2 linked regions of the Coturnix japonica genome follow. The protein of the gene in region 2 interacts with the protein of the main gene of each other region in a pairwise test. Links are inferred from orthologs where the notes say so. Each region holds a gene or a part of one and is shown on either strand. Other genes may lie near its edges.

What was found.
Region 1: the proteins of BANP (region 2) and L3MBTL3 interact in binary tests that used the Homo sapiens proteins (3 or more experiments, as listed by UniProt). The two-hybrid records come from large-scale screens. The link is inferred for Coturnix japonica from reciprocal best matches to the Homo sapiens genes BANP and L3MBTL3.

Annotation. Positions count from the first base shown.
Region 1 is NC_029518.1:52,548,411-52,558,185, forward strand, and holds the start of L3MBTL3 (lethal(3)malignant brain tumor-like protein 3), read right to left. Parts: upstream 5,053-9,775; 5' UTR 4,923-5,052; intron 3,593-4,922; exon of another isoform or gene 3,471-3,592; intron 3,157-3,470; exon of another isoform or gene 3,061-3,156; intron 1,955-3,060; exon of another isoform or gene 1,864-1,954; intron 1,772-1,863; exon of another isoform or gene 1,650-1,771; intron 1-1,649. UniProt on the Homo sapiens protein: Is a negative regulator of Notch target genes expression, required for RBPJ-mediated transcriptional repression. It recruits KDM1A to Notch-responsive elements and promotes KDM1A-mediated H3K4me demethylation.
Region 2 is NC_029526.1:16,027,960-16,037,500, reverse strand, and holds the start of BANP (protein BANP), read right to left. Parts: upstream 4,609-9,541; 5' UTR 4,495-4,608; intron 1-4,494. Other genes in the region: carbonic anhydrase 5B, mitochondrial-like, read left to right, coding at 9,401-9,533. UniProt on the Homo sapiens protein: Controls V(D)J recombination during T-cell development by repressing T-cell receptor (TCR) beta enhancer function. Binds to scaffold/matrix attachment region beta (S/MARbeta), an ATC-rich DNA sequence located upstream of the TCR beta enhancer.

The sequences.
Region 1 (9,775 bases), on a different chromosome or scaffold from region 2:
TTGTCTCTTTCTCATCCTTCCACCTCTTGCACTTCTTGATTATGTACTTCAACAACAACCACAACAGGAACAGTGCAGGAAACGATAGAACATTTTGAGGGTATCCACTACATTTTAATATGCAGCCTTAAAATATCTGTTTAATTCTTTTAATGTTCTAATTCTTCTAATGTTGCCTTAAAAGAAGTATCTGCAGATTACACACTTCCTTCAAAATCTCATTTTTCATCCTTCAAAAACTACTTTACCAGTTCCACTATTCTTCTGTGTGTTGAAGGACTATCCGAGTCAGTCCCACTACTTTGCCTGTTGCTCGTGAAATTTATTACATATAAGTTACTTTAAAGATGAACTATATGTAGGTAGGAATTATATTCACAGAGGGACCTAAGCTTAAAATTCTTTGCCCTCTTTAGCACTCGTAAGAGGAATTGGACCAGATTTCCTGTCAGTGTTGTCCCCTTACTATTATTTCCTCTTGTTTTATCTCTTGCTACTTCTCTGCCTGCTGCACTCTCCAGGGACACAGTGTATGTTCAGTCTTGCTTCCTAGCAGATAGGCTTAAATCTGTTTCCTCACAGAAGGAACCTGGCCACAGGCATTACAAACTGCAGACTGTGTTCTCTGATAGGAGTGAGCCTGCATCAGGTACTGAGAATGGGTTTCGGTATCTACAACTGAATCTGCTCTCTGCCAGCAGCTAACACAAGTTCCACTTGTAACAGCGTACCACTGGGTAACACAGTTACACACAGCTTTTGACTACTTTGTCATTTTCAAACATCCACAAAGCACTACAATACCCAATACTGACGCTATTCTATCAGCTACTAAAATTCACCACTAACAACTTCCAACTTGTTTATAGAGAATTTGTACCTCAGGAGCTCTGAGGAAAGATCTCCTCTACAACACCTCCATGACTTGTTTGTTTCCATCCCTCTCTGTGCAGTCCTGAACGGGGTCTTATGATGCTCACATACTAAGTTGGGAGTACAACTCCCAAATCTCGTTTGTTAACCTCTTCTGTTTCCTTGAATCAGGCACGGAGTGACAGAAAACTCCCATCTCATCCCATTTGGAACACTGGAGGCCCTGGGTTTGAATCCCCCTGTGGCGCAAGTGGTAGAAGTGCCGCTCTGCAACACAGAGGCTCGAATCCCGGGGGTTGGACTCGATGATCTCTAAGGTCCCTTCCAACCCGCACGAGACTATGATAATGTGATACTGTGATCTCCTTCCATTTGCAGTGCAGACATCTCAGGAAGAACTGTGATGCACCAAACCCTCACACTGCGCATCACCTGATGTATGCCAAACTGTTTGAAGTGACGTTAGCTCCCAGTGAGCCCCTCTGCACACTCGCACTCAGCTCATGCCCTTCTCCTCTATTCTGCTTGTTTTCATCACCCTGGTCTGCAATCCTTAAACCACTATTTCACCTTTTTTTCTAGCTCCTAACTACTGGTCGCTGCGTTTCTCCTTATCTCCAGTCCACAAAGAGCTCCAATTTCCCATTGTGATGAGTAGCACTACTACTGAAGCAATAAAAAGCTGTGGCTACACGCACACTATTACTGTCTTCAGTAAATCCCATCCATGTAATCCCTGGTTCCTCACACCCACTGCTTACATTCCATAATCCTACCTGTCAGCGGTATTAAAAAGATGAAGGGTAACGGGAATAACCCACAAACGCCAGCCCGAGTGATGCCCGAAAACACTGAACCAGCCAGAGGGAAAGGGCTCACTGCGCCACCATTTTCTAGAGAAAAAAAAAAAACCAAAACAGTACTACTGAAAGCAACAGCGGAGAAAAAACTCAAGAAATTAATAAGAACCATACACTGCAACAAACAAACCCAAAGTTCGCTACAGTTGCCCGGCTGACAACAAACGCCCTCCAATGAGAGCGCTGCGGCAGCCGCCGTCACCGGCGCGCTGCGTCCATTGGGACCGGCGGAGCGGCGGGGTCCCGCGGCGAGGGCGGCCCGGGCGGCACCGCACCGGCACCGGCACCGCTCGTGCGGATGTTCACCGGAGCTGCCGGGAACAGCTGAACTTCTGTGGGCAGGAACCGCTTTCCCGAAGGGGCTTCACGCCGCAGCAGGAACGTTCTGCTCTGATTGTGAACGCGAGCCGTTCCGAAAGCGGCGTGAAGTCGAGCGTTCGCGTCTCGAGTTGTATTTACACTTTCCACCTGATTGTTAGCGCTCGCTGCGGGCAGGAACAAAAAAGCCGAGCGCTCAGCCCGGCGCCTCTCGGAAACGAACGGAACAATGAGAAGGCGGCTCTCGCTCCGTGTCAGCTCACGGATCGCGCAGCCCGTCCCGCTGCCCGCGGGTCACCGCACGGATCCGCGCGTCACGGCCTTCCCCAACGCATCCCGCGGGGCCGCGTTTCCAGGAAGCGTTACTCAGCGCCTCCGAGCGCCGCGAACAACGGGGCGGCCGACGGCGGTGCGTGGGGCCGGCCCGGGCCGCTCCGAGCCCGCACCCCGCCGCGCTCGGCCTGGAGCCGCGCCGCCGGAGCGCAGCGACGCGGGGCCCGCCGGGCGCGGCCGCCGGCTGCCCGCGGCCTACCGCCAGAGGTCCCTCCTTGGCCAGTTTTGCGGCGTGTTTTGCCGCACTCGAAACTTTCTGGCGGAGAAAAACCCGGAGTGCTCGGGTCCGCGTTTCGCCGGGGCTCGGGCAGGAGCGACGAGACAAAGCGGCCGCCCGCTCCGACGGTCGCGAGCCGGCAGCGCTGGAGCGGAGGGAGCGCGCTTCTCCCGCCGCTCCCCGCCGTTTTCTCTCTCCCCCCTCCTTCCCCCCGGCCCGGAGCGACGGGAGCGCGCGGCAAGAGACGGACCCCCGGCCGGCGCGGGGGCGAGCGCGGTGCGAGCGAGGGTGGGAGAGGAACTGGGTGCCGAGGGTTCCTGAGGAAGTTGCACAACCGGAGAGGGACTCCGCTTGTTTACCGGGTCCTTCCCCACCCCCCCTCACTCCCGCCCCCCCCTCCCCCCGAGACGGGGATCCGGGAAAGGGCGGCCGGCTCCGCGTGGAAGGGGAAAATTTTACCTTCTCCTCCCTCCTCCCCTCCCCCAGCGAGGAGGAGGAAGAGGAGGAGGAGGGGGCGCGCTCTCTTTCCCGAGGGGGCTGCGGGATTCGCTCCTCGGCCGCTCGCAGCCAATCTGGACGCGCTGATCGCCCGACGGAGGGGTGCCCCTGCCCGCGGAGGGCAGCGCCGCGTCGCCCCCCACCCGCAGCAGCCCGGCCCCGCGCTCCAACTTTTTCTCTCACGCTCTCGCGTGCGGCCGCTCCGACGAAGCGGCCACAAAATGGGGGCGGCTCCCGGCCCCCACCCCGGCTCCCCCCGGCCTCGCGCTCCGGGCGGCCGCTCCCACCCAAAATAATAATCGCGATAATAATAATAATAATAATAATAAAAATCCCTCCCCCCAGTCGCGAAAACGCCGCCTCACACGCACGTTAGCGAGAACAAGTGTGCCTATATCCTGTTGTTAATGCACCGGCTGCGGAGACGGAGCGGCGGGGGGAGACGGGGCCGCACCCCCGGCGGCGCTCGGGCCGAGAGCGCGCAACTCGGGGCGAAGCCGCTCGCCGCCCGCCCGTCCCTCCCGTCCGGGCGCACACACGTGCGCGGCAGCGCGGGGCCGTCCCGCGGGACCCCCGGCGCCGCCCGCGGGTGCCAGCCGCCGGCCCGCAGCGGGCAGGGGCCGCCCCGCGCTCGCCCCCCGCCTGCCGCAGCGGCCCCGGGAGCGCGCACCGCACGGCAGCGGCGGGAGCGGAACGCTGGAGCCGAAGACTTTTTTTTTCCTCCTCTTAAAAAAAAATAAAAAATCGCAAGAAGCTTTTTTTTTTTTTTTTTTTCGGGTGTGTGTGTGTGTGTGTGTGTGTGTGTGTGCAAACTTTCCCCAAAATGGCGGAAATTGGGAGATGATTATATTTTAAATATCTCTCGCGCACAGGCACACAAAGTGCGGGAGCGACGGGCACGCCAAACTCTCCGCTGCGCGCTGAGCGCGGCCTTCGCGCACGGGAACCCGCGGCACATTCAACCGGTCCATCCCGGCCGCCGCCTGCCGCTTCCGACCGAAAAAACGGGGCTCTCGCACCGCCCCCACCCCCATCCCGCGCCCGCGCCTCGCCCCCCCGCGCCCGCACCTCGCCCCGTCTTCGGCGTGCGCGAACAAAGAGCCGGGCCGGGGGGGGAGCGCGGCGCAGGATCCCCCCCCGCCGCCCGCCCTCCGACGCGCAGCCCCGCGCGCCCTCCCCCCCCCCCGGCCCCATCGCGTTTGTCCCCGCGGTGCCCCGCGAGCGGCGTTAAATGGAGCCGAGCGGCGGCTCGGCGGTGGGGCAAGTCCGCAAAATGTCTCTCCCCTTCCCTTCCCCCTCCTCGCGGAGCCCCTTCCCCCCCTAAAAAAGGCCCCCCCGGCGCGTTTCGGCGGCTCCCTCCCCCATACGGAGCTCTATGCACATGCACATACGTGCGTGCCCGTGGCTGCGCCGAGATACGCGGCACGGCTCGATGCGCGTACTCCCGTCATGTGTTTGGGGAGAGAAAAAGAAATAGCAGGCACCTCTCTCTCTCTTTCTTTTGTTCCTCTTTCTCACTCACACACTTGGGGCGCTGGGAGGCACCCCCTGCCCCGGCCGCTCCCCCGCCACTTGCGAGTCACTTGCCCACTTTCCCCGGCGCGAACTTCCATCCCCGCCGCGCGGGTGGGGGGGAGAAGCCCCCTCCCTTCCCCGGCGGCGTTTCGTAAGGGAGGGCGAGGAGGTGCGCCTCTGCCTTTCTCTCGCTCTCCAACTTTCATCCTCACCTACGGCCGAACCCGACCCCGCCGCCGGCCTTCGGCCGCCGACGCCGTTCCCCGGCCGCGGCCGGCGGCTCCGGCTCGCGACCCGCCGCTCCTTACCACCCCAAATTCTCTCTCTCTCTTTTTCTCCGGCTCTCGAGTAGGTCCTGACAAATATGGTCCAGGGCTGCGGGCACAAGTGAGCATGCGCCCGCCGAGCCAGGGCTGGGGAAAGGGGAAACTGCCGCCGCCGCCGCCGCCGCTCGTTCTTCCTCCCTCGCCCGCGCTGCCGCTGCGCCGGAGCCGCACTCGCGGCGGTGGCAGCGCGGGCGAGGGTGGAAGAGCGAGCGGCGGCGGCTGAAGTCGGCGGCGGCGGAGCGCACGGCGCCCTGCGAGGTGCGGCATCCCCGGTTGCATGCCGACGCCGGAGGAATAATAAGGAGGCTTGCGCGGCAGCGCGCTGCTATTTTTGGGCTTTTGGAAAATAACGCGCTAAACCTTTTTTTCCCTTTTTCTTGTCTTCTCGCCGTCTTTTCCCCCGTCCTTTCGCCAAAAGGCGTGACGGGTCGCTGCCTGCCGTCCGAGCGCAGAGCCGAGCCGCTCGCCTCGGGATGTCACACGGGACCCGGCGGGGGGTGTGCGGCCATTCACACTCCTGCGCTCTGCTACGGCGCTGGGCCTCAGCCCGCTGCAGCTGGTCTGCAAATGGAAAGTAGTTTCACCTGTGCCACCTGCCCTCCATCACCCCCTGCGCTCACAATAGGAGATATTTTCTGTCCCTTGCCATTGTTTAGAAAATGCTACGAACGGAAGGCCCGTGGGTGTTTTTTTGTTTGTTTATGGGGTCGGACAGGGTGGGCTTCCTTCACCTAGAAGGAGGGCTGCAAAGCAACATTAAACTGAATAGAGCTACGCGAGGCCTAACTAACGGGTGAGAGGGAGGGAGGGGGATTGCAATCTGTTGTATATATGACACTTGAAAACATTTAGATACATAGATAGGTATAAGTATAGATAGATGTAGATATGGACAGATAAATAGATGAGAGAAAGAGGGAGAGACAGAGAGACAGAAAGTTTCAGGCAAAGTGTAAACCAACATGGAATGCAGTCATTATACTTACCAGAAATGTTTTATTCAGACCACGTGATATCTGTAAGATGGCCATATTCTGAAGGCGAGGATTGGCAAAGTGAATTAAACATTTTTAGTAGTTTGGCATGTTGTTACGTCTCTTTTAAAATAGCCCTCAGCCTCTGATTTATCCCAGTAATTATCAAGTCCAGACTTTCCCTTGAATTTACATATGCTTCCTTCTACAGTTACAGAGACAACTGTGGCCCAAGTTATTAAAACAGGAATAATGATAACCAGGAATAAATAATAGGATTAATTATCAACAGAAATAAATACATGACAAAAAAATGCTTACCTACAAAGTCAGAATAACCAAAATGTGGCTTATACCAAACCAAATAAACCTTTTCTTTGCTATTATGAGTATACACTATTTATGATGGGTATATACTGTGTGCATCCCAGCAACTGGGGCAGCCTTGCACTGGACAAAGGATAGAAGTGCCCTTCTCTGGCAGGAAGAATTGGCTTCCATTCACTGATGTACTTACATAAGAACATACATTGAAATATTTATGAATCAAATCTATGTCCATGCTTGTAACTTAGGTGTGACTTAGACTTCTACCATGCTATCCTGAGAGCTTCTATTTACTGAAAATGGTAACACTGAAATCACGTGTGTTCGCAGGATGGTGCCTGTGTGCGGCACATAGTATTATTCTATGTTTAACATCTCTCATGCCCATTCAGCTCAAATGGCATTGCGCATAGCATGCACTTTTCATTAATGAACATATGTTCATTAGAAACTAATTATGGAAAACAGTATTGACCTTATTGTAATAATTAGCAATAGCATATATTTAAACTCTTCTAGAATAGTTTTTCACAAAATAAAAGTGAAAGGATGAGAAAATTCCAATATCCCTCACGAACTCTTAACTGAGGAAATATATGGGTTAGAAACAAAGAATAAACTGTAACTGAAGTCATTCAGTGCTTTTTTGAAAGTCATTTCCTAATGTTATTGAAATATTTTTATGCAGATAGTTGCCAAATAATTAGATTATTCCATTGTAGCCTCAAATTTGCTGAGTTCTGCAGAAGACATGTAAAGAACGACGTAATTTGTTACTATTTAAAACACTCTTTAGGGCACCGAACATGTGCTGATCATTTCTACAGATGATGGTGGGGTTTTGGGAAGAGTACACCATACTCTGTTTTGAAGATGCACTTCTAAGCAATTCATGCATAGTTATTTTGTTTATGCTTGAAAAATCTCTTTTTCTTTAAAAATCTAAAAGATAATCACTGGATTTGTAAAAACGTGTTTAAATTCCAGTCCATCTGATCTTCCTATATATGTCATAGCCCCTCACAGAAATGGTTCCACATTTGGAAAGGATATCATTGGAAGATATATATGCTGAACATCAAAACTGAAACCCAGCTTTGGAGCTGGAACAAAGCTGTTCTGTTGGGTAAGTAGTTTCAAATGGATTGCTCTTTGATTAAAGGACATGGGAAATTAATACAGGTTCTTTCCATTAGTTGTGTCTCCTTCGATTCTTGCCCTAATCAGATTCTGGCAGCTCGTGATGTGTTCTAAACCCATTATTTTGTCAATAGCAATTTATTGAGTAAAAATAGATTAAACATTATTTAAATATGCTCTTTAAACATTGTTTCTGTTGCCATTTTATTTAATACCAGGCTTCCATGTCTATTCCAAAGACAGAGAATTCCAAATGCTTGTTTTCTATATGTAAGCATGGCATTTAATATGATTTTGGCAGTATGCCTAATGACATGTTTTGGAGTAGCTAAATTTGGTCTCCCTGTGAGTATTTTTTTGACTTGCTGAATAGGTATAGCCAAATTATGATTATTCTTCTTAGAGTATGCACATAAACATTCACATACATGCCTTCCAAATCCCATGTTGTGAATACCATTTAAGGTATTTAGGGGAAAGAAATGTACATTAATGATTCAGTTTGTAGATGGGGTTGACATCATCATGTGATCTAATAGTTCCTCTGTAAATACCTAAAAATAAACTAAGAAAATAAACAGTATTTACTATTTACTGAATTAGCATTTCTGGTATCATGATTTTTGGAGTACAGGCTAAGACACTTAAAGATGGTTGTATTTCTAGAAAGTAATCTGTGCATGATGTTTTACCATCGTTCTTCTAGCAACTTGTGCAGCTCATTGTGTGACCTTTCTGAATACTGGCAGTCACCTATCTGTCACATCATCCTTCCCTAAGCCAAACCAGAAGGATGGAAATTCACTTGATGGCAATCACAAGAAAGAAAATGTTGCATATGATACTCTGTTAAACTTAAAGCTGGGAAAACAGAAGTGTAGCAGCTTGAGAAACTGAAGGTGAGATGACATATGCGTTTTTCTAGCAGAAAGACAGGTGAGTTGCAATCCATGGTGATCCCAGTTTCACTTAATAGTGTTCTCTTCCTTCCCAGGGACTTGGTGTCCCCACAAATGTGAAGAAATTAAGACTGACCCACTACCAGTAATGGATAATTGAAAGGTAATTTGTTGGTTGTTTTTTTGTTTGTTTGTTTCTGCTAATACCAGAATAATTATCACATTTATTGAATTTCCACACTAAGCTAGGAAACCAATAGTACTTCAGATTCGAGTGTGTGCTCTGGCCACACCCTGACCCTATACCAGCTTGAGACTCAAGACAGCAGTGGCTCTTTTTTTGCTTTTTTTCTGGGAAGGAAAGAAACCACAGTGTTCTCCAGCCAGATTTCAGCCCAGTACACACCAGGACACATTGTAGATGCAGCCTCGGAGAGTGTTTTTGCTAGAGACCGTGTATGTCAAGACAATGCAAAGTAGGTATTCCAAGGATTTCATCCAAGTTGCAAGATTGCAAAGATTTCTAGAAGCAGTTTGCACCCTGAAGGAAATTCAGAGGCAGATGTGAATCTTTGGGGACTGTGAGTGCTGAAATGAATCCAGAGCAATACTGCCTATGAAAACTTTGGGAAGCACTGGATCAGAAATAAAAGCTGAAGAAGTCATTTGTAAGACTGTCAAATGGAAGTGTGGACCTATAGTAGAAGTACTAATGGGGGCTCTTGAACCAGAACAAGGGTAAAGATAGAAGTTTGAAAATGCAGGCTGGACATTGGAGTCTGAAGCACTGACAAGAATTGAATCACTTGAAAGGAGTAGGAATGGGCAGAAGAGTATGGAGCAGTAGGCAGGAGGAGTACCAGGGCAGAGCTGAAACTGGATGATGTGGAATGGATGATAGGCTGAAAGAAATCAGTAGGAATAAAGGTTCTAACTGCAGAAAGTAGGGAATGGTAAAAGAGAAGCCATGGTGGAGGACAAGTGATTTGTAAAGAGAAAACAGAGCATGAGGGGACAAGGGAATTAACAGAGGAAGAAAAGAGGCAACCTGTGTTAGGCAAAGCTGGAACAACAGGAGAATTGCAGTCTTTGAAAATGTGACTTACTATGCTTAAGGAGCAGTGACAATCAATATCTTCCTTGTGGATGGAGATCAACAACCATAGGGCTCTTTTGACAGGGAACTCTTTTACTGCATCCTCTTTTCTAAGGTTCGCGAGCACAAAACCTCTGTCATTTCTCTTAGCAGAAAGTATCAGGTCCTGTTATATCTGTTATAAGATAACAGAAGCCTCACAGAAGAGCACCACACTGGAAAGTTTGTTCCAGCTGGGTCCTCCAGATCAACCATCTCAAAGACGAGCAGTCAACCCAAGAGCTAAGGCTGTATGTTTTAATTTTCACAAAGAAGTAAAGTTGATGAAGCAGCATCGGTTCTTAGGAACCGAAGCTGAATGAAAAAAACAGTACAGCCTGTAATCCTGATACAAATAAC
Region 2 (9,541 bases):
GCCATTCCAAGTGTTGTTCCTCTTCATTTGACCCATCATGCAAACCACCACCTAAAGCAATCAGAATTATTGGCAGCAGATCTGAGTTGTTCACAAGAACCACAGCACTGCCAGAGCTGCAGTGAGACCCAGAACATCAAGATGGGCATTAGACCTTCCTACAACAGAAACTGCCCTCGAAAAGTCAGCCCAAGGTTTGCAAACATCCAAGGCAAAGCCCTTACAGATGGGTCTCCTCTGCAGCAGGGGGTTGTGATTGTGTGATTATGATCCTATGATGTCCATTCTCCCCTCTAAAGGGATGTTTCCCCCAACAAGGATGTGCAGATGAAGCAAGTCTTATCGCCAGAGCTTTGGCCATGAACTTCTTTCCAGCACCAGGAACTGGCAAAGAAACTCCACTCTGGAGGATCCTAATGCCCAAGATGAGAAGGAATACACACCAAAGCTGAAGCCAACTACAACTGCAGCAATAGCCCACAGGTCTATATGTACTTACAGTAACAGTAGCAGCCAAATAGTAAAATAACAGTATAAAAAAAATGGAAATCCAACTTTAAATTATACATATATACCAAGCAAACCAATAAGGTATATAAAACGATTGCTAACTGATGAGCAAAAAGCCATAGAGAAGCACAGGTTGACTTCTAATGGGGATATAGAAACAAATACGAGATGGGGTCCATTTGGTCACCAAAATTTAGGATTCTTTTCAGTGTTATTTAAGTATGAAAAACTCATACTTACACCTTACAGTGTTGCTACTTAGAAACAGCAAGGAGCTGATGGAGAAATATTTCAACACACGGTAATTTAATGTTTGAATCCCCTTTGGAAAGTGGGAAATAAACAGCATTAACAAAATGGTGGCAACCAAAAATAACCAATTATAGAGTCAAGATGAAGAAATAGGAACCAGATTTAAAGGAAATGAGCACAGTTCTCAGTTTATGCCCTTAAACACCCAGTTTTCCCACTGCATCGTCCAGTTGTTTCAGTATCACAAAGTGACTTTTGTCTCATAAATAAGTCATTCTCTGTACTCAAGAGAACAGCTGACTGAAGGGTATCTCAGTGTATCAATCTTTCAGTGACCTCCGGAACAATGAGGTCTATTTAATTCAGTGCAATTATTGGCAAGAAATCTTGGGAGAATAGTATTTACTCTGAATAAAAGACATTACTAAAATCTGAGCATGCTTCGAGCCACCATAGCAGTAGGCAGGTTTGTATCCCAAGCTAGATAAGACCTGGCAGCCAATTTCTTCTTGAACATCCACGTTGTCTGAGCAGAATCAGAACATCTCACTGCTCAGATGAAACAAGAGCCCTGCAAACCTGCACTCCAGCCATGCACAACCAATGAGAAACACCCAGGTTGGGGGTACAATGCACTGCTCAATGGAAATCCCATTGGAGAAAGCCAAGCAAATAGAGGGCGATGAGGAAAGTCACGTCCCATACTGTACAGTGAACAGACAGCACTGTTAGGAAGCCACTTCCATCTGCTAAGCTCTTCCTCATGCTGGGCTGCTGTTGTGTTCATGCCAGGACACTGGGTGGACATCACAGGGCTGGGTTGTGGAGCACAGATAGTGAGCCAGAATTTATCCTCCTCTGATCATGTTTAACTCACCACGTTACAGCCAGCTCCTCTAGGGACAGAAAATAAACAGAGGCAGGCTGTGGGAATAAGATGCATATTTGAAGCTGACCTCGTTCCCTGATATCATAAGATATAGCACAGTCTTTTCAATGGCACCAGGATTCAGACTGGAAGCGCTAGAAATCGTCACTTTCCCTTTACAAAGTGACTTGGCTACAGCATTTATAGGCTTTGCATATACAGGAAGCACTGCAGGGCCAGCATCAGTGCTCTGCAATGCACACAACCAAGACCTCGCTTCAGTCAGGTATTTACAGACAGCTGGCTCAGGTTTAAAGGAGACTTGAGCAAACACTTCATTTCTTTGTGTTTGGCTTCCCTCAAACAGGAAGTTTATAGAAAAAAAAAAGGGAATAACACAACTTTGTATTTTTCCAACTGAAAGAATCTGATCTAGGGTAGGGGGGAAAAAAGAGCCAACCAACCAACCATGCTGCTACAGGTGCAAAAAAGCACAGCAGCCAACATCAGATCTAGGGCAAAACAAGCCACCTGCTCCATGTCTCTTACCACCTTCAAACACTTAAAACATCCAAGCTCCTGCAACAGACCTCAATGCTGCTTTAGAACCCAGGGATAATATCTGTTCATTCTTACAAATATATATATATATGAAGAGCATCACCTGAAGGAAAACACAGACCCTGTGCTCTTCTGAAATACATTACCAGTATGATCTGAACCTGTTTGCCATCATCCCTCCTTCCTCTAGCAAACAAAAGTGATTGCAGCTTAAGCTTGCACCAGCATATCTAGGTATGCTGGCAGAGCGTAGCAGGTACAGCTGTGTTTGGAAGGAGCGTTTTTCTTCACGGTTCCTATGAATCCACGCCAACACGGCAGAAGACGGGCATTCTGTCTTGGTTTTAAGATACAGATGCATCTGAACGCAACGTATGCTTCCCTCCTGCAGTCACGGCTTCCCCCTTTTCCAGCCATGCTTATACAAACAGGAAATGAGATGAAAAGAATTTGGTCCAGATATCATCAGAAATGACTTTATTTGAGGTCCCAGAAGGTTTGTGTCACGTTTGTGTGCAGTCTAACAAGCAGGAGACAGAACTAAGCACTTGACAGCACCTTTTTCAAGGGCTACAACTGCAAGGAAACAAGGGTTTGATGTGACTTTTTAAAGGCATTTTATTTTTTATTGTTACTTGAAGGAGCAGCACTTCACATTGAATGAATACGGGTAAAAAAAGAAAGCAAAAAAACAAAATGACTTCAATAGATAAGAACTAAAGACCAAGTCCCAAACTAAAGCAAAGAGCCGTACAGCTTTAAACCTGCTCTATATTCATGCAGCCACGGCTGGATAATTAAGTCATTAAAGGCAGCTTCTGTTACAGCGTAACAGATGATAAACTAAAACCAAAGAAAAAAAAAAACCTTGCAAAATATTTTCATCTCAAGCAGATGGACTGAGAACGCTTCCAAAATCCCAACGCCATCTTTCAGAACTAAAAAGTCTTCCTTCCCAGCACGTAGTAGTGAAAACTGAACTACTGCCAAGGAGCACTGAATGCACAGAGTCCAGTTTCAGTGCAGCTTAGTTGTTATTCTGCTCTATTCCCATGGACAACCATTCACAGGTGCTCAGACTCTCCCCACCCACATCATATCACAGCCGTGAAACAATGGGTTGAAAACAAGCAGGGCTGATTCGGATGGATGTTAAGCGAGCAGCCAAAACCCTACAGACAAATGGCACGTTTGCTCCTTGACATCAGTCAACAGGGCACTACACCCAAGGTTAAGAAGAAAGAAAAGAAGTATAGTTTTACAATGCTTTAAAAGACTTTGCAAACTGCTCTAATGGAAGCAGTCCACGCTGGATGTGGCTCTGGTGACCCTGCACATAGCAGAGGGGTTGAAACTGGATGATCCTTGCTGTCTTTTTCAGCCCATTCTATGCTAAGCAATCACTGTGCTGCAGTTACACCCCCCTCCCAATTGATTTCCTTGGGCTTTTTGTTTTTCCCCCTGGTGATCTCTAAATATAACCCTATAAATAAACCATCCCCACAGCGGGATAAAAGCGCAGCCTTCACTCCAAGTGCATCACTTCCCACAGTGCAGGACTTAAAATATTCTTGCGGTGCTTGCTTTTTGCATTAGATAAGAACGAAGGGAAGAAGAAAAACATTAAGGGTGAGCTGCCCACCCCCAAACAGAGCAGCAGGGGGTGGAGATGTGAAAAACCTTTCACTGTGCCCAATGACAGAATGAGGGGACTTCAGAGGGGACTTCTTCCCTTCAAGAAGGCTGCAGCCCCCTCTATGTCTGTAGCGATAGGGGGTGGGGGGGCTGCCCTTAAGAAGGCTGCAGTGTCTGTCGCGATAGGGGGTGGGGGGCTGCCCTTAAGAAGGCTGCAGTGTCTGTCGCGATAGGGGGTGGGGGGCTGCCCTAAAGAAGGCTGCAGTCTGTCGCGATAGTGGGGGGCTAAGGGGGCTCCACAGTCCATCCCACGACCCGAAATGGGAATGAGGAGGGACGGCCTCGGTTTAGAGGTGAGCAGAGGGGCTGTACACCCGGCCCATAGAGCAGCACAGAGCAGGCAGGAGGGGAGCGAGGCGAGCAGAACGCAAGGCCCGGCTCCAGAGCCCTTAGGCCGCAGGAGGAGGCCAGGCCTCAGCCTCCCCCCTTCCCTCGCTCCCCGCCTGAAAGCCCGCAGCCCCTCCCCCGTAGCCTCCGCCTCACGGCCCTGCTGCTCGGCCTGACGCTCTAAGGAACGGGAACGCTGCGATAAACGAGGCTCTAGGCCCGGCCTTAAGGCCCCCCGGGAGCTCGGCCCCAGCCGTCCGGCCGCGGGGCGCCGCGGTTACCGTGTGCGGTGCCGAATTCTCGTGGTGTTTGTCGGGCGGCTGCGATAATGGCGTCCTTCCTCGCGAGAGATCTCCGTCTCCTCACTGCGCATGCGCCGCCGCGCTGCGATCTCTCGCCTCCCGCCTGGCTCGAAGGCCCCGCGCATGCGCGCAAAAGACGCGGCCTCGCAACCGCCGCGCCGCTGGGAGAGACTATAATTCCCAGAGGGCAACGCGCAGCACTTGGGCACCGCCCATACTGAGCAGGCCGGGATCTGTAGTACTATCGGCTGGAGCGGTGCATGCTGGGAGTTGTAGTTCGCACACCGCAACGCGTGTAGGCCGCAGTGGCCTATGTGATGTCCCCATCTCAGCCTTATGCATCATTGCAATGATGGGGTAAATGCTCAGCTGAGTCCATGGGTTTATTTAGCCTGTTCTGTCCTTTCACAAGCAGATTAGGAAGTTCAGAGGTTAAACTCCTTACAAACTGACTTTTCCCAATGGATTATGTCATATTTTGCTGCACATTTGCCCTGTATCAGACTTGGAAAACTCAAGCAACCCTGCTAGAAAAGCAATGGTACAGATACATACAGTGCAGCACCTGCTGTGCCACTAAAATCCTTTGCTGTCCAAACCCAAACCCATTAGGATATGGGATATTGGGATGTTAGGATAACAGCCCTCCTGGTTCCTAATCAGTGCATTCCCTCCCATAGATTATTAACTCAGGTTCTGCTGAGGATCCTGCTCCTCATTGTAAAGCTACTCCTCAGCTAAAACAACACATCAACCAATATTCACTTGTGGTCATCAAAGTAATGGTAGGAAACTATGGCAGGATCCAGCTGATGTCTACGACTTTGATCAGAGACATAATAAAAGTAATATAGCAACTTGGCACCTTCTCAGTGCTTAAATCAGGACCAATTTTGACTATTATTTACAGCACAAACCACTTACTGAGGATAAACAGGTGTTTCCTGTGCTTCACAAAATACATCCTCTTTTAGCAAACGAGGTCTTTACTTTATCATGAGGTAAGAGATAGCTCATAAGCCAGCATTAGGAAGAAGCAGATACTCCATTCTGTTCCAGCTTTAACCCACTATATCTTGTTTGAGTGACAAATCAGCTCATATTCCAGCCATCCCCCTCCTCACAAAAATGAATAAGAACATCAGGGTGTCAATACATCATCCTTCTTTTCTTTATTTTATAGAAGAAAATACATTCTGTTGCCCTTCTGGCTTATCCTTCCAAATGAAATAAGCTCAATATTTCCTTGTTGTTTTAATTCCTCACCTTTTCATCCTTATTTTTCAGTCTCTCTTTAGCACTGTACGCTTATGCCAACTTTCCTCTGTCTCATTATGAAAAACCATTTGGTTCCAGGAAATATCTAGCTTATTTTACCTCCGTATCAGCGTTCACTTGCTATTGTTTCCTAAGGAAGTCGCTGGTTTTAGATGGTTTTTTGTGTAGATCAAGAAAGATCAGTATCTCGTTCATTGGTTTCCTTTTCTTTTCGTTAGAAGAAAAACCCACCATAGGGTCAGAGGTAAAAAATTAACACACTGTGCACACAGTTTTGCAGCTGCATAAGCAGTGGGAAAACAAAGGTTGCCAAACAAAGCATTTGTTTAAACAAGTGACTGGCATTCATAATGAAGTTCAGTGCTGAACATGAGTGTGGAAACAAAGGTAAGAAGAGCACAGAAGATGTGACCAGGGCAGAGATGTAACCACAGAGCATTTGAAATTGGAACTTGATTATATACTATGCTATTAAGAAAATAATAAAGGACTTGAAAATCTCCTGTTTGTTCAGTTTCTGAGTTACTTTATTCATTTTCTGTATATTAATTCTCATCACTGGAATGGCCTTCTGAGCACACCATGCGCTCTCCTGTGACACGGTGGTTTGAATCAATATACAATAATGGGTATAAATCACATTTTGTTGAGCCCAATTAATACTAATGTCATTTGTAAACCCGCTGCAGTGTTTTGCCTTATTGATAAGAAGCCTCTCCACTGTTGAAGCTTAGAATCAGCCTCCCTCCTGCAAGCACACACCTCTCATCCCTGATCTTCAGATAGTGTCTATTGTCAGTCATTTCTTTGATTTTTTGTTGGTTTCTTTCTTCTACAAAACCCAAGTTGGGCTTTGGAGGCTTTTACTCCTGCACCTACTCTGTGACTTAGAGCAAGATATTGACTTCTGCTCTGACTCTGATCTCACTTCTGTTCTAAGCACACCACATCTCATTTCCTGAAGATATTCCCAGTTTTCATGAATGAGGAAACAGAAAAGACCTTGAATGCCCAAAGCAGAGAGAAAAACACTGTTACCCATTTGGTCACAGTTCAAGGTATCATAAGGACATCTGTGCTAAGCTGAGAAATTAGGTGAGAAGGGACAGGCTTGATCTCTGTGCTCTCTCTCTTATTTACATACTGTTCAATTTCCATGTCTGCATCATGGAAAAAATAACAGGAATCTATTCCCTTTCTCAGAAATATGTCACTCTAAAAAGCTCTGTTACAACTTTACCCTTCACTGACCTTCCCAGCTGAGCCTGCTGCCCTTTTGCCTGTTACACAGCTGATAGCTTTGCTCAGTATTTGCTGGTTTGCTAGCTTTGCTACAGCCTGTGTTTATTTGGTCAGGTACATTATCATCACCAGTCTTTTTTACTCCACCGGCATTATCAAAATGTTAAAGGGAAGCTCATCATACATAACACTGTTAGAGGATTTTATCCTTTCTTTAGACTCAAGGTTGCCTGAGAATCCTGTTTGTTTACTCTGTAGCCCTCAGCTCTGTATCAGCTCTTTCAGATCTCCAGGCAGAAAGTGTTTCATAGCATCTATGTACCACTAATGTTATTATACTGAGTCCTAAAAGCAACAAGTTTTTGCTCCATGTTAGCTGTGAATTGAGCGTGGGACTTCACAGACGTAAATAAGAAAGTTCAGACAGCACATGGGAGGCTTATCTTCTGGGGAAGAACAAAACAACCAGATATCAATCCTCTCTGTCCAGCTTGGAGACATTTAGAGCTGAAGTCGGTGACAGCAAGAAATCTCTAGATTTTTACTTTTCCAGCTTTTATGAAGACTAAGTAAGCAAACTTGTATTGTGTGCAGTCCCACTCCACATACGTGGTTACCCACAATTAAGAACAAAACCAGAAGCTAGATTTGGAAGTTTCTTTGGCTGGCAATGGCTTGCTGACACTTCAAAGCAGGCAGTGGAGGTAATAAATGACGAGCGTTAAGAAAGACTCTCCTAAATAGCTGATTTTGGAAGAGTAAGTGGCACAGATAAGCTTATTGCTTCAGGGTACTAAGGTGGATTCCCCGAGCCTTGCACTTATGCAACCTGCAGGAAGAGATGACAGACATGCACGTATTTAATGAAAATATCACCAATTAAATATGTTTCTAACATAAAATACCACCTTTTGTTAAGTGGAGACAAGACATAAGTGATGTCTGGACCCTGAGGCTGATAAGAAGTCCTCATGACCTTGAGGAGGTTCACCTGGAGCATCCACCATCCTCCACCCATGGCCTAGGAGCCCATTTAAGCTCAAGCTTGAGCTTTTTGAGCTTTGCTTTTAGGACACTTATTTTTAGGTTTGCCTTTAGCCCTGTCAGTAAGAAGGACTTTGGACCCATGTTGTTGCTTGGCTTTGGCCCTGGCTCTTTTTATTCCTGTCCAGGCTCCCTGCTTGGACCTTGGACCCGGTTGTCTGCTTGTAGTGGACCTTCTTATCAGTGCCAGCTCTGCTCAGTGTCTGCAGGATGGCACCCTGCTAGTGAGGATCCCAATGGTGCTGGGCTCCCCACTCCTCTGCCCTTGGTGAGAGCTGCCTCTTGTTCTCTGACATGCCTAGGCACCCTCTTCAGATGTCTTTCCATCTTATTCCTATAGAGCTGATAATAACCTGCAATGCTGTGGAAAGTCTTTGGAGAATGAGTTGCTTGGATTGAGTGGGAAAATCCAGCTCTGAGAAGCTGCTTGCAAGGGGTTGCAGCTGTGCTAGAAAGAGCAATACAGTGACAGACAGATCCCAAAGAAAGCAAAAGAGAGGCTATAAAACAGAGACCTTTCATATCAGGAAACAAAAGTTACTGAAATTGCATGTAGAAACAATGGAGTAGCTCTTCTCATGCTCTCATCCCTAAGAAACAAGTCAGAGATCCCTGTTGTCCCCACTGGAGAAAGGCTTTGGCTTGGCCAAAGTGACATTTGAGTGATGTTCCATAGGTGTGTTCTTAGTCTGCATGAAATGATCTGTCTTATGAAGCCCCTTACAGTTCAGAAGAACAAATTCTCTACCTTGGGGTTGCCTCATTACTGTGTTATATGCTCAGAGCTGAAATATTCTCTATATTTTTCTGCTCCATCTCCTGCTCTGAGCAAACCTCATCTATCTACAAACTTCAGTGAGTTCCTCATCTTGGGCACTCATCACTCCTCACAGTCACACCGGTCAACAACAGCGATGGTTAGCTATCAGCATTCAAAGCATGCATGCATGAAGAAGTGATAAGAAACCTCTTATCGCATATGAAAGAATGGTTGCTGTAACCCCCCGGTGTTCTTGGAGCCACACAAGAGAAAGCCTGGAAAGCACACAAATAATCATCAACTAGCCCAGCCTACGGTGAAATTAGAGCCAATGAGAAAAGCCAAAAGAGGGACAAGTTGAAAATTAACTATTTGGTCAGTGCTCTCTCCAGCCAAGAAAGGGTGCTCTCTATAGCTTTTTTAATAAACAGGTCTGGAGATCCCTTGAAGCTGTTATGCCCACAGCATTTCTTTGCCTCTTTTCACCTTGATAAGCTGCTGGATTCTGGAAAGCTCCTCGGGCTGTTCAATTAACAAAAGATTTTGAGTGCTGAGGAGATAATGATGAATAGCATAAGGACAAACAGCCTGGGACATCTATTCAAGCAGTTGAAAACTGTCTGGAGTTCACCTACAGCACCAGCAAGGAGCTGCAGCTTGGCTACCTGCACTCCCAAAAACAGGAATGATGCATGTAAGTAT